Macaca fascicularis: one gene and its partner. The protein of the gene in region 1 binds, or shares a complex with, the protein of each later gene. Links are inferred from orthologs where the notes say so. Each region holds a gene or a part of one and is shown in the gene's direction. Other genes may lie near its edges. The genes, in order: GTF2E2 and POLR2D.

Region 1 (4,241 bases):
TGGCACTGAATTCCCTGCCCCTTTCTCCCCTTACACCTCATCAGTTTCCTACCAATTAATCTTTGATTTCATCCTTTTGTAAATCTTCTGGGCCCTAATCAATTGTTATTCAAAGTTACATTTCCTGTGGGTGTCAGATGATCAAGTAGGCTTATTACAAAATTCTCTAGAATGAAACTAATCAAAAAGGTCACAAAATATTATCTTTTGACTTTTTTCCAAGTTTTGAATAAAATTTTAGGTATTTCTCATTTTCACCACAGTCCAATGCAAGTAACTCATTGTAGTAGTACAATGATTATCCCGATTTTCCAGGTGAGAAAACTGAGCCACAGTTTTAGTAACTTGAAGAGTAACCAGTAGTTAAGTAATTCAACGACAGCCACAGAATGGCTGAGCACTGGCTGTACTGGCGCTTTAGGTTATAAGAGTGAGGGAAGGCCTGCCACGCTGCAGGGTTCGAGCAACGACAATTATTTTTTCCATTGCTTTATTTCCACCCATTTATCTGGCTTCTAAATCCAAAATCCTTTTCTAAGACAGTTCACAGGGGTGGAGGGAAGAGGCTGGGCTGAGCTCCACATCATGCTGCCTTTGCTAGCTGTGCTGTCTTGAGCAAGTCATTTATTAATTAGCTTCCTGGCCCTCTGTTCTTCGCTTGTAAAATAGCTGGAACCGCGTTCTCGGAGAGCAGGTGCTGGTGGGTGGCACTGGGGTAAACTCACAAAATAACCGTTGAGGCCGGAGGCGGTGGCTCACGCCTGTAATCCCAGCACTTCGGGAAGACGAGGCGGGCAGATCGCTTGAACTCAGGAGTTCAAGACCAGTCTGGGCAACACTGTGAGACCCTATTAATACAAACAATAACAACAAAAATCAGCCCGTCGTGGTGGCAGTCGCCTGTGATCCCAGCTACTCCGGAGGCTGAGGTGGGAAAGTGGCTTGAGCCCAGGAGGCGGAGGTTGCAGTGAGCCGAGATCGCGCCACTGCAGTCCAGCCTGGGCGACCAAGTGAGATCCCATCTCTAATAAGAAAAAGACAAAAAACACAAAGTAACCATTGAAAGATAGCGTCGCTGGTTGGGTTCACCACATCCCAGCGCAGGCGGGAGCAGGCTGTAGCAGCTTTAATTAAATGTGCGTAAAGAAAGCTGTCTTCCATCTTCCTTGGCACCGCCTCCCACTTCAGTCCACTCCTCGGCCCCGCCCCGGCCCTTCCCTCGTTGTCATGGAGGCTCCAGGACGCCACAGCGGGATAGTTCTGCTCCCGCGGCACCAGAGGCGGGGCACCCTATGACGCATGCGCTCGCTTCGCTGCCCTGGCGCCGCGGTGGCTGCCGGGACTGAGCTCCTAGCACCAGATCGGGAAGTGGCGGGCGGAGTCCCGGGTCGAGTCGTCGCCTCAGCCACCGCCGCCGCCGCCGCCAGTGGCGAGACCCCGACCTGGCGGGTCAGCGCTGGGCGTGCGTGCGGGCAGGCGGGGGCGCTGACGAGGAGCAGGAAGAGGCTGCAGTGCCGGCGTGGGCGGCTGGCCGAGGCGGAGGCGCAGGAACTGGGCGGCGAGTCGTGAGAGGCTGCCCGCCTCACTCAGGTAGGGGCTGCGGCCGCCGGGTGAGGGGCGCAGAGCCCCGTCCTGCTGTTCCCCAGGATCCAGGCGCGCCGCCGCCTCCCGGGAGGCTGAGCGTGACCTCCACCCCACGGGAAGCTGGGGCCGCCGTTCTGGAAGCGAAACACCGAGCACGCGAACCGTTCCCCGGAGCATTGTCTTTAGGCCGGAGGTTCATTGAGCAAACTTTTGGGTTGGAAAGAGGGAAAATTCGCTGTTTGCTACCTGATTGTGCCTCTTCCAAGCCTCCAAGTTCACGGGCGCGGTAGCCAAGCGAACCACGTTGTGGAGTCTGAGGAGCCACGGGGTCCAGCCAGCTCAAGGCTGTGATTTAAAATGATGCTTGTACGCGGACTGCTTTCTGGGCTACCTTTTGGAGACTTGGTTTGTGATGATCCCTAAACATTAACGATAGTAGTTGATTTCTGAAGTCTAAAGACGTTTTCCACAACAATGCTGCGGCCCGCTTTCCGCCCACCTCCTCACTTCCGTCATTTAAGGGCGAAGCAGCCCGCTTTTCATGGCCGGATCCTGAGGTGCCAGGGACACTAACGAGGCTGGGAAAAAGTAAAACAGAGGGGAGGTAGGAAGGTTGAAAGAGGTCGAATGATGGCAAGAATCGTGGGCTTGGAGGCAGATTTCAGTTTAATTTTTGGGTTTTCCATATCTGCCCGCGGAGGAACCAGCCAACTCCTTGAGTTGTGATAGTTTTGTTTAATTGTAAAATGAACATGGTGATGTAACCTGTTTACTACATAGGTGGGTCCAGAGATCTAAAGCGTACTACACATATTGAGTAGTCTTTGAAAAAGGAGGAAAAGTTAGGCGGAGCACGTGAAGACATTGCGAAGCCTTCTGCTCTAGATGCCTTTGAACGTTCCCGAACCTCATAGGTGGCCTTTGTTTTAAAGGCCTTTACCAGCATTCCAGATCTGTTGTAAGGAGCACTTGAGTTAGGAGTCAGGAGGTTTGGGTTCTGGCCCTGGCTCTTCCATCTGTGCGACCTTAACCAGACAGCTTCACTTCAGATTTCATGTATTAAAATAGGAATGACACTAATACCTGTTTGCTCCTGGAGTTGCGAGGGTCAAATACTGTAAGCATTTAGTTTGTTGTAAACTGTACGGCTTTATTTACATCTTTTTTTTTTTTTTTTTTTTTTTTTTTGTGCCGACAGAGTCTCGCGCTGTCTTCCGGGCTGGAGTGCAGTGGCTCGATCTTGGCTCACTGCAACCTCCACCTCCCTGGTTCAAGCGATTCTCCTGCCTCAGCCTCCCAAGTAGCTGGGATTACAGGCGCCCGCCACCACGCCCCGCAATTTTTAAAAATTTTTTAGCGGAAACGGAGTTTCACCATGTTGGCCAGACTGGTCTAGAACTCCTGACCTCGTGATCCGCCCGTCTCGGCCTCCCAAAGGGCTGGCATTACAGGCGTGAACCACTGCGGCCGGCCTATTTAAATATTTTAGAGTCGTTTTTTAAAAGTCCAGATTAAGGTCCTGCCTTTGCAACGTGAAATAATAAGACACAAATGTTTCCTGTTCTAGAAATTCACAATCAGCTTGTTGCCCCCACCTTCTCACTTAACAATTCTCCTTTCTTGTTCTCGGCCCCACGCTTTCCCTCCTCCCAAGGCTGTCTCCTACCTTCCTCAGCGCAGTAAATCGTTCTTTTCTTTCAGATCCAACTCGAAATAGTAATACTGAAATGACATATGTTTTTATGACTTTACTATTTAAAAAATAACACACGTTTTCTCATTCTTACAATTGGGCTGGATGTGGATAGCTTTCGCAGCGTCCTCATTTTACTTATGAAATTGAATGTAGAGGCCTTGTGGGTTGCCTAGCCAGGTGGCTCTTAGGAATTGAAACTGAGGCCGGGTGTGGTGGCTCACGCCTGTTATCTCAGCACTTTGGGATGCTGAGGTGGGCGGATCACTTGAGGTCAGGGCTTCAAGACCAGCTTGGCCAACATGGTGAATGAACCCCGTCTCTACTAAAAGTACAAAAATTAGCGGCGCGTGGTGCTTCGCACCTGTAGCCCCAGCTACTCGGGAGGCTGAGGCAGGAGAATCGCTTGAGCTCAGGAAGCGGAGGTTGCATTGAGCCGATTTTGCCCTACTGCACTCCAGTCTGCGCGGCAGAGCAAGACTCTGTCTCAAAAAAAAAAAAAATTGATACTGAGAGAAGGCAGGTTTTTGATTCACCGTACAGTGATTGTTCACGCCTTAATTGGAATTCACTCTGATTATTTCTTACTAATGCTTATATTTTAAATTTTTAGCTGAATGCTCCATTTCCTCAAATCTAAGCAGCACGCAGACAAGGATTTATCCTCCATAACCTTTCAAAGCTTAGAGCACAGTGCCTCACAAACAGAAGACATTTAATAAAGGCTTGTGAAACCAGTAATAATGGGACCAGAGCAATTTAAAGATGTTGTTCCATGTGTTGTTCATTTAACATTTATTGAGCTATCTGTGCTTAGAAGCTTTCAAAGTATGAGTCTTTTTCCTCCCAGCTGACACTAGTCTTAACAGTGTCAAATTCATTTATATAGTCAGCTTGAGGTCTTCATAGACCCTCTGCAAGGTTCTAGCAGAGTTCAGAAGAGAGGAGTGTTTAGAATTCTTCT
Region 2 (4,471 bases), on another chromosome or scaffold:
ATTCCCAGGACAGCCTTCTAAAGGATTTCTTTTTTTTTAGTTTTAAAATTTTACTTTTTAATTTTTTAAAGCTTTTTTTTTTTTTTTTTTTTTTTTTTGAGACAGAGTCTCACTCTGTCGCCCAGGCTGGAATGCAGTGGCGCAATCTCGGTTCACTAAAACCTCCGCCTCAGCCTCCCGAGTAGCTGGGATTACAGGCGCCCGCCACCACGCCCCAGATTTTTTTTTTTTTTTTTGGTAGAGAGAGATTTCACCATGTTGGCCAGGCTGGTTTCAAACTCCTGACCTAAGGTGATCCGCCCGCCTCAGCTTCCCAAAGTACTGGGATTACAGGCGTGAGCCACCGCGCCTGGACTTTGCCTGTTTTTTTTTGGCCGGTCTCTCTCTCTTGCCCAGGCTGGAGTGCAGTGAGGCGATCATAGTTCACTGCATCCCTCAAGCGATACACCCGCCTAGGTCTCTCCAGTAGCTGGGACTACAGGCGCGCACCACAACGCCAGGCTAATTTTTGTATTTTTTAGAGAGGAGGTCTCACTATGTTGTCCAGGCTGGTCTTGAACTCTGGAGCTCAAGCGATCCTCCAGCCTCGGCCTCCCAAAGTGCTGGGATTTCAGGCGTGAACCACTGTGCCCGGCCCAATTCATTTGTTGTTAAATCAACAGAGTTTACAATATGACCTTCTAAACATTGTTGACTAATGAGCTAAGATATCGTTGACTAATAAGCTACGATTATTTCCTTTATTGTACAACCTTTCGTTTTCTCCAGTGTAGAAAACAGCATCATTTTTCATTTGCATTTCTTTTTTCTTTTTTAATATATATATATATATATATATATATATATTTTTTTTTTTTTTTTTTGAGACGGAGTCTCGCTCTGTCGCCCAGGTTGGAGTGCAGTGGCGCGATCTCAGCTCCCTGCAACCTCCGCCTCCCGGGTTCAAGCGAATCTTCTGCCTCATCCTTCCGAGTAGCTGGGATCACAAGCGCCCACCACCATGCCCGGCTAATTTTTGTATTTTTAGTAGAGATAGGGTTTCACCATTTTGGTCAGACTGGTTTCGAACTCCTGACCTCAGGTGATCCCGTCGCCTTGGCCTCCCAAAGTGCTGGGATTACAGGCGTGAGTCACTGTGCCCGGCCGTCATTTGCTTAATTTTCTATGCATCACCCAAATGTTCCAACAGACGTGTGGTAAAAGCCTCTGAATATCATTGTCCGCGTGCTCAGAAGTATTAGATAATCCATCACAAATGAATAAAATTTTAGAAGTGTAAGTCAGTGAAAGAAATTCGACCCGGCACGTTCGGAGTCGGCTGCCCTGCTCTCCATCAGCAGGCGTTCCTGCAGCTCATCTGACCCTCTCCGCCCAGAAAGGCCTAGGGACCTACCCCAGGACGTCTGCGCGGCGAGGCGCGAGGGAGGAGAGGGAGTGCAGGGCGGCCCTGGGCGGCGGGGAGCCTCCGGGACAACACCAGCAGGTCCCCTCGCTGCGCCCCGCCAGCCTCACACTCCCGGCCCCGCCCACCCCTCGGGGCCCCTCCCAAGACCACGCCCCTTCCGTGGCCGTTGCTCCGCGCTTCCGCTTCCGGCGGCGCTGGTGGTGGCGCGCGACTCAGCGATGGCAGCAGGTGGCGGCGATCCGCGGGCTGGCGACGTAGAGGAGGACGCCTCACAGCTCATCTTTCCTAAAGGTTGGGCTCGGGGCCGCCAGACTGCCCCGCGGCACTTCGCGTGGTCGCCGCAGGCCTGGCGTTATCCGCGCTTCGCCCAAGGCCTGGCCTCGGCGGCGGCTTGGGCAGACCCCCGCGCGGCGTAGGGCTGGGGAGGGAACGTGGACCTGGGAGTGGCCGCCTGGGCAACTGGGTTATTTTATGTGATAACAAACTGCGAAGTTCCGGGCGCTGGTGTCAAAGGTAAACAAAGCCGGAAACCCAGGTGGTGAGGACAGATTTTTAAACAGGGATAGAACGTTGCACTAGGGAGAAGAGTCCAGCGTGAACCGAACTCAACTTCGATTAGTACCGAACCTCTGGGCGTTTTAAAGGAGAGTTAGGGAATAAGGATGTGGTGAGCGGGGGCTCAGGGGAGTCGGGGAAGTGAGAAATGTAAAAAAGAGGGAAGAGGAGGGTCCGTGTGAACCCACCTTGGTTTGTTGACTGCAGCATCTATCGAAGTTAGGCCCCTACCCTCCCACCGAGGCGGAGAGACAGAGGCCTGTTTTCAGCCGTTGGCTGGAACAAACAAATTATTTTGTTTTTTTTTTTTTTTTGAGACGGAGTCTCGCTCTGTCTCCCAGGCTGGAGTGCAGTGGCGCGATCTCGGCTCACTGCAAGCTCCGCCTCCCGGGTTCACGCCATTCTCCTGCCTCAGCCTCCCGAGTAGCTGGGACTACAGGCGCCCACAACCGCGCCCGGCTAATTTTTTGTATTTTTAGTAGAGACGGGGTTTCACCGTGGTCTCGATCTCCTGACCTTGTGATCCGCCCGCCTCGGCCTCCCAAAGTGCTGGGATTACAGGCGTGAGCCACCACGCCCGGCCCAAACAAATTATTTTGGCAGCCTCGAGTTTTCTCAGGCACGCAGTGGTTGGGGAGGGTATTCCTAGGGATAAGGACCTCAAGACCTCAAGTGATCCATCCACCTTGGCCTCACAGAGCTGGCATTACAGGCGTGAGCCACCTCGCCCTGCATTTTTTTTTTTTTTTTTTTGAGGCAAGATCTCATTCTGCTACCCAGGTTGGAGTGCAGTGGTGTGATCACAGCTCACTGCAGCCTCAACCTTCCCAGGCTCAGGTAATCCTCCCACCTCACTTCAGCCCCTGGAGTACCTGGAACTACAAGTGCACACCACCACACCTGGCTAGTTTTTGTATTTTTTTTGTGGAGACAAGATTTCACCATGTGGCCCAGGCTGGTCTTGAATTCCTGGGCTCAAGTGGTCTACCTGCCTTAGCTGCCTAAAGTGTTAGAAAGTACAGGTGTGAGCCACTGCACCGGGCCTATTAATGGTCGTGATGACGGAACCTTACTAAAATTTCCAGATGACATACTGGCCAAGGAATTGTTTTCCTTTTTTAGCAACAGGGATTAATTATGGCCATTGTTCTTAAAATATTTGCACAAGAGAGAATAACATGCAGATCCCCTGATCTGTTTCCTTTTGTTTCCAAATAAATTGTGTGTGTGTGTGTGTGTGTGTGTGTGTGTGTGTATGCTTTCACTTGAAAATGTTTATTGGAATTAGCCATGGGGAGAAGTCTTGGATTCCTCCTCTCCGTAGTTATACAAAAGTGTCTGAACTGCCTCCCCCATCCCCATTTTGTTGATGCCGAATCCTGGGAATGCCTCCCAAAAGCTCTGTGGTAGGTCTCAGACACCCCTTTCCTAGGCCCTCTGAGTTACAGTTTGGCTGCCTTGACCTTCCTTGGTTGAAGGGAGTGAGGGTAATGTATTAGTAGTACTTGAATATTGTTCTTAATGAGAAATAGGGACAGCTGACTAGTTTCCTGGTGGCCTAAAAGTTCCATTCCTTTCCATTTAACAAGTAATTTTGGTTTAGTGCAGAAAGGGAGGCATCTGTTTTGTTTTGTTTTGTTTTTTTGAGACAGAGTGTTTCACCCTTGTTGCCTAGGCTGGAGTGCAGTGGCACAATCTCGGCTCACCGCAACCTCCACCTCCTGGGTTCAAGCGATTCTCCTGCCTCAGCCTGAGTAGCTGGGATTACAGGCATGTGCCACCATGCCCGACTAATTTTTGTATTAGTAGAGATGGGGTTTCACCATGTTAGGCTGGTCTCGAACTCCTGACTTTAGGTGATTCACCTGACTTGGCCTCCCAAAGTGCTGGGATTACAGGCATGAGCCACGGCGCCCAGCCTGGGATGCATCTCTTAACATTGATTTTTCCAGGACCTGTAAAAGCATCAAAGTTCCAACACACCGATTTGTAACTGATTAGCTACTTCTTCCCTTTTTTGTTTTGGCCTGATGTCATTTGTTACTGTCGCTTCAGAGTTTGGAGGTCCTGCAGTCCTGATATATAATGCCTTTTCCTCTACTCATTGCTGTGAGGCAGTAGTTTCTTCTGTACCTACAGTGCCTCAGTGTTAAAGATTAAAAGTAGTAAAGTTCCTGGTATACAAATAGGCACTCACTGTAGTACATCCCCTGTTATAGGCTGGAAGACAGAAAAAGGTGTTCTGAGGTTTTTGTTTAAACTCTCCTGCCCTCAGGTAGAAAATAGCTTTTGGTTACCTATTTTTTTATTTAGATTTTAATTTTATTTCAATAGTGCTCCAGCTGTATTGGTAGCCTATTATATTCAGTAGCAATGAGTACCTTTCAAATAAAAATAGACTTTCCTCCTGACCTACCACTTAAACTGTCTGTGTCGTGAAAGGAGAATGAGGCTCTTGTCAGTTACCCGGCTTGAGAATTGGGAAGGCGTTACTCTGAGGGAGGTGTTAGT

What was found.
Region 2: GTF2E2 (region 1) and POLR2D share a complex: the UniProt entries of both Homo sapiens proteins name them as parts of the TBP-based Pol II pre-initiation complex. The link is inferred for Macaca fascicularis from reciprocal best matches to the Homo sapiens genes GTF2E2 and POLR2D.

The regions. Positions count from the first base shown.
Region 1 is NC_088382.1:33,860,984-33,865,224, reverse strand, and holds the start of GTF2E2 (transcription initiation factor IIE subunit beta), read left to right. Parts: upstream 1-1,344; 5' UTR 1,345-1,950; exon of another isoform or gene 1,951-2,188; intron 2,189-4,241. UniProt on the Homo sapiens protein: Recruits TFIIH to the initiation complex and stimulates the RNA polymerase II C-terminal domain kinase and DNA-dependent ATPase activities of TFIIH. Both TFIIH and TFIIE are required for promoter clearance by RNA polymerase.
Region 2 is NC_088386.1:3,674,756-3,679,226, forward strand, and holds the start of POLR2D (DNA-directed RNA polymerase II subunit RPB4), read left to right. Parts: upstream 1-1,598; 5' UTR 1,599-1,623; coding exon 1,624-1,696; exon of another isoform or gene 1,697-1,918; intron 1,919-4,471. UniProt on the Homo sapiens protein: Core component of RNA polymerase II (Pol II), a DNA-dependent RNA polymerase which synthesizes mRNA precursors and many functional non-coding RNAs using the four ribonucleoside triphosphates as substrates.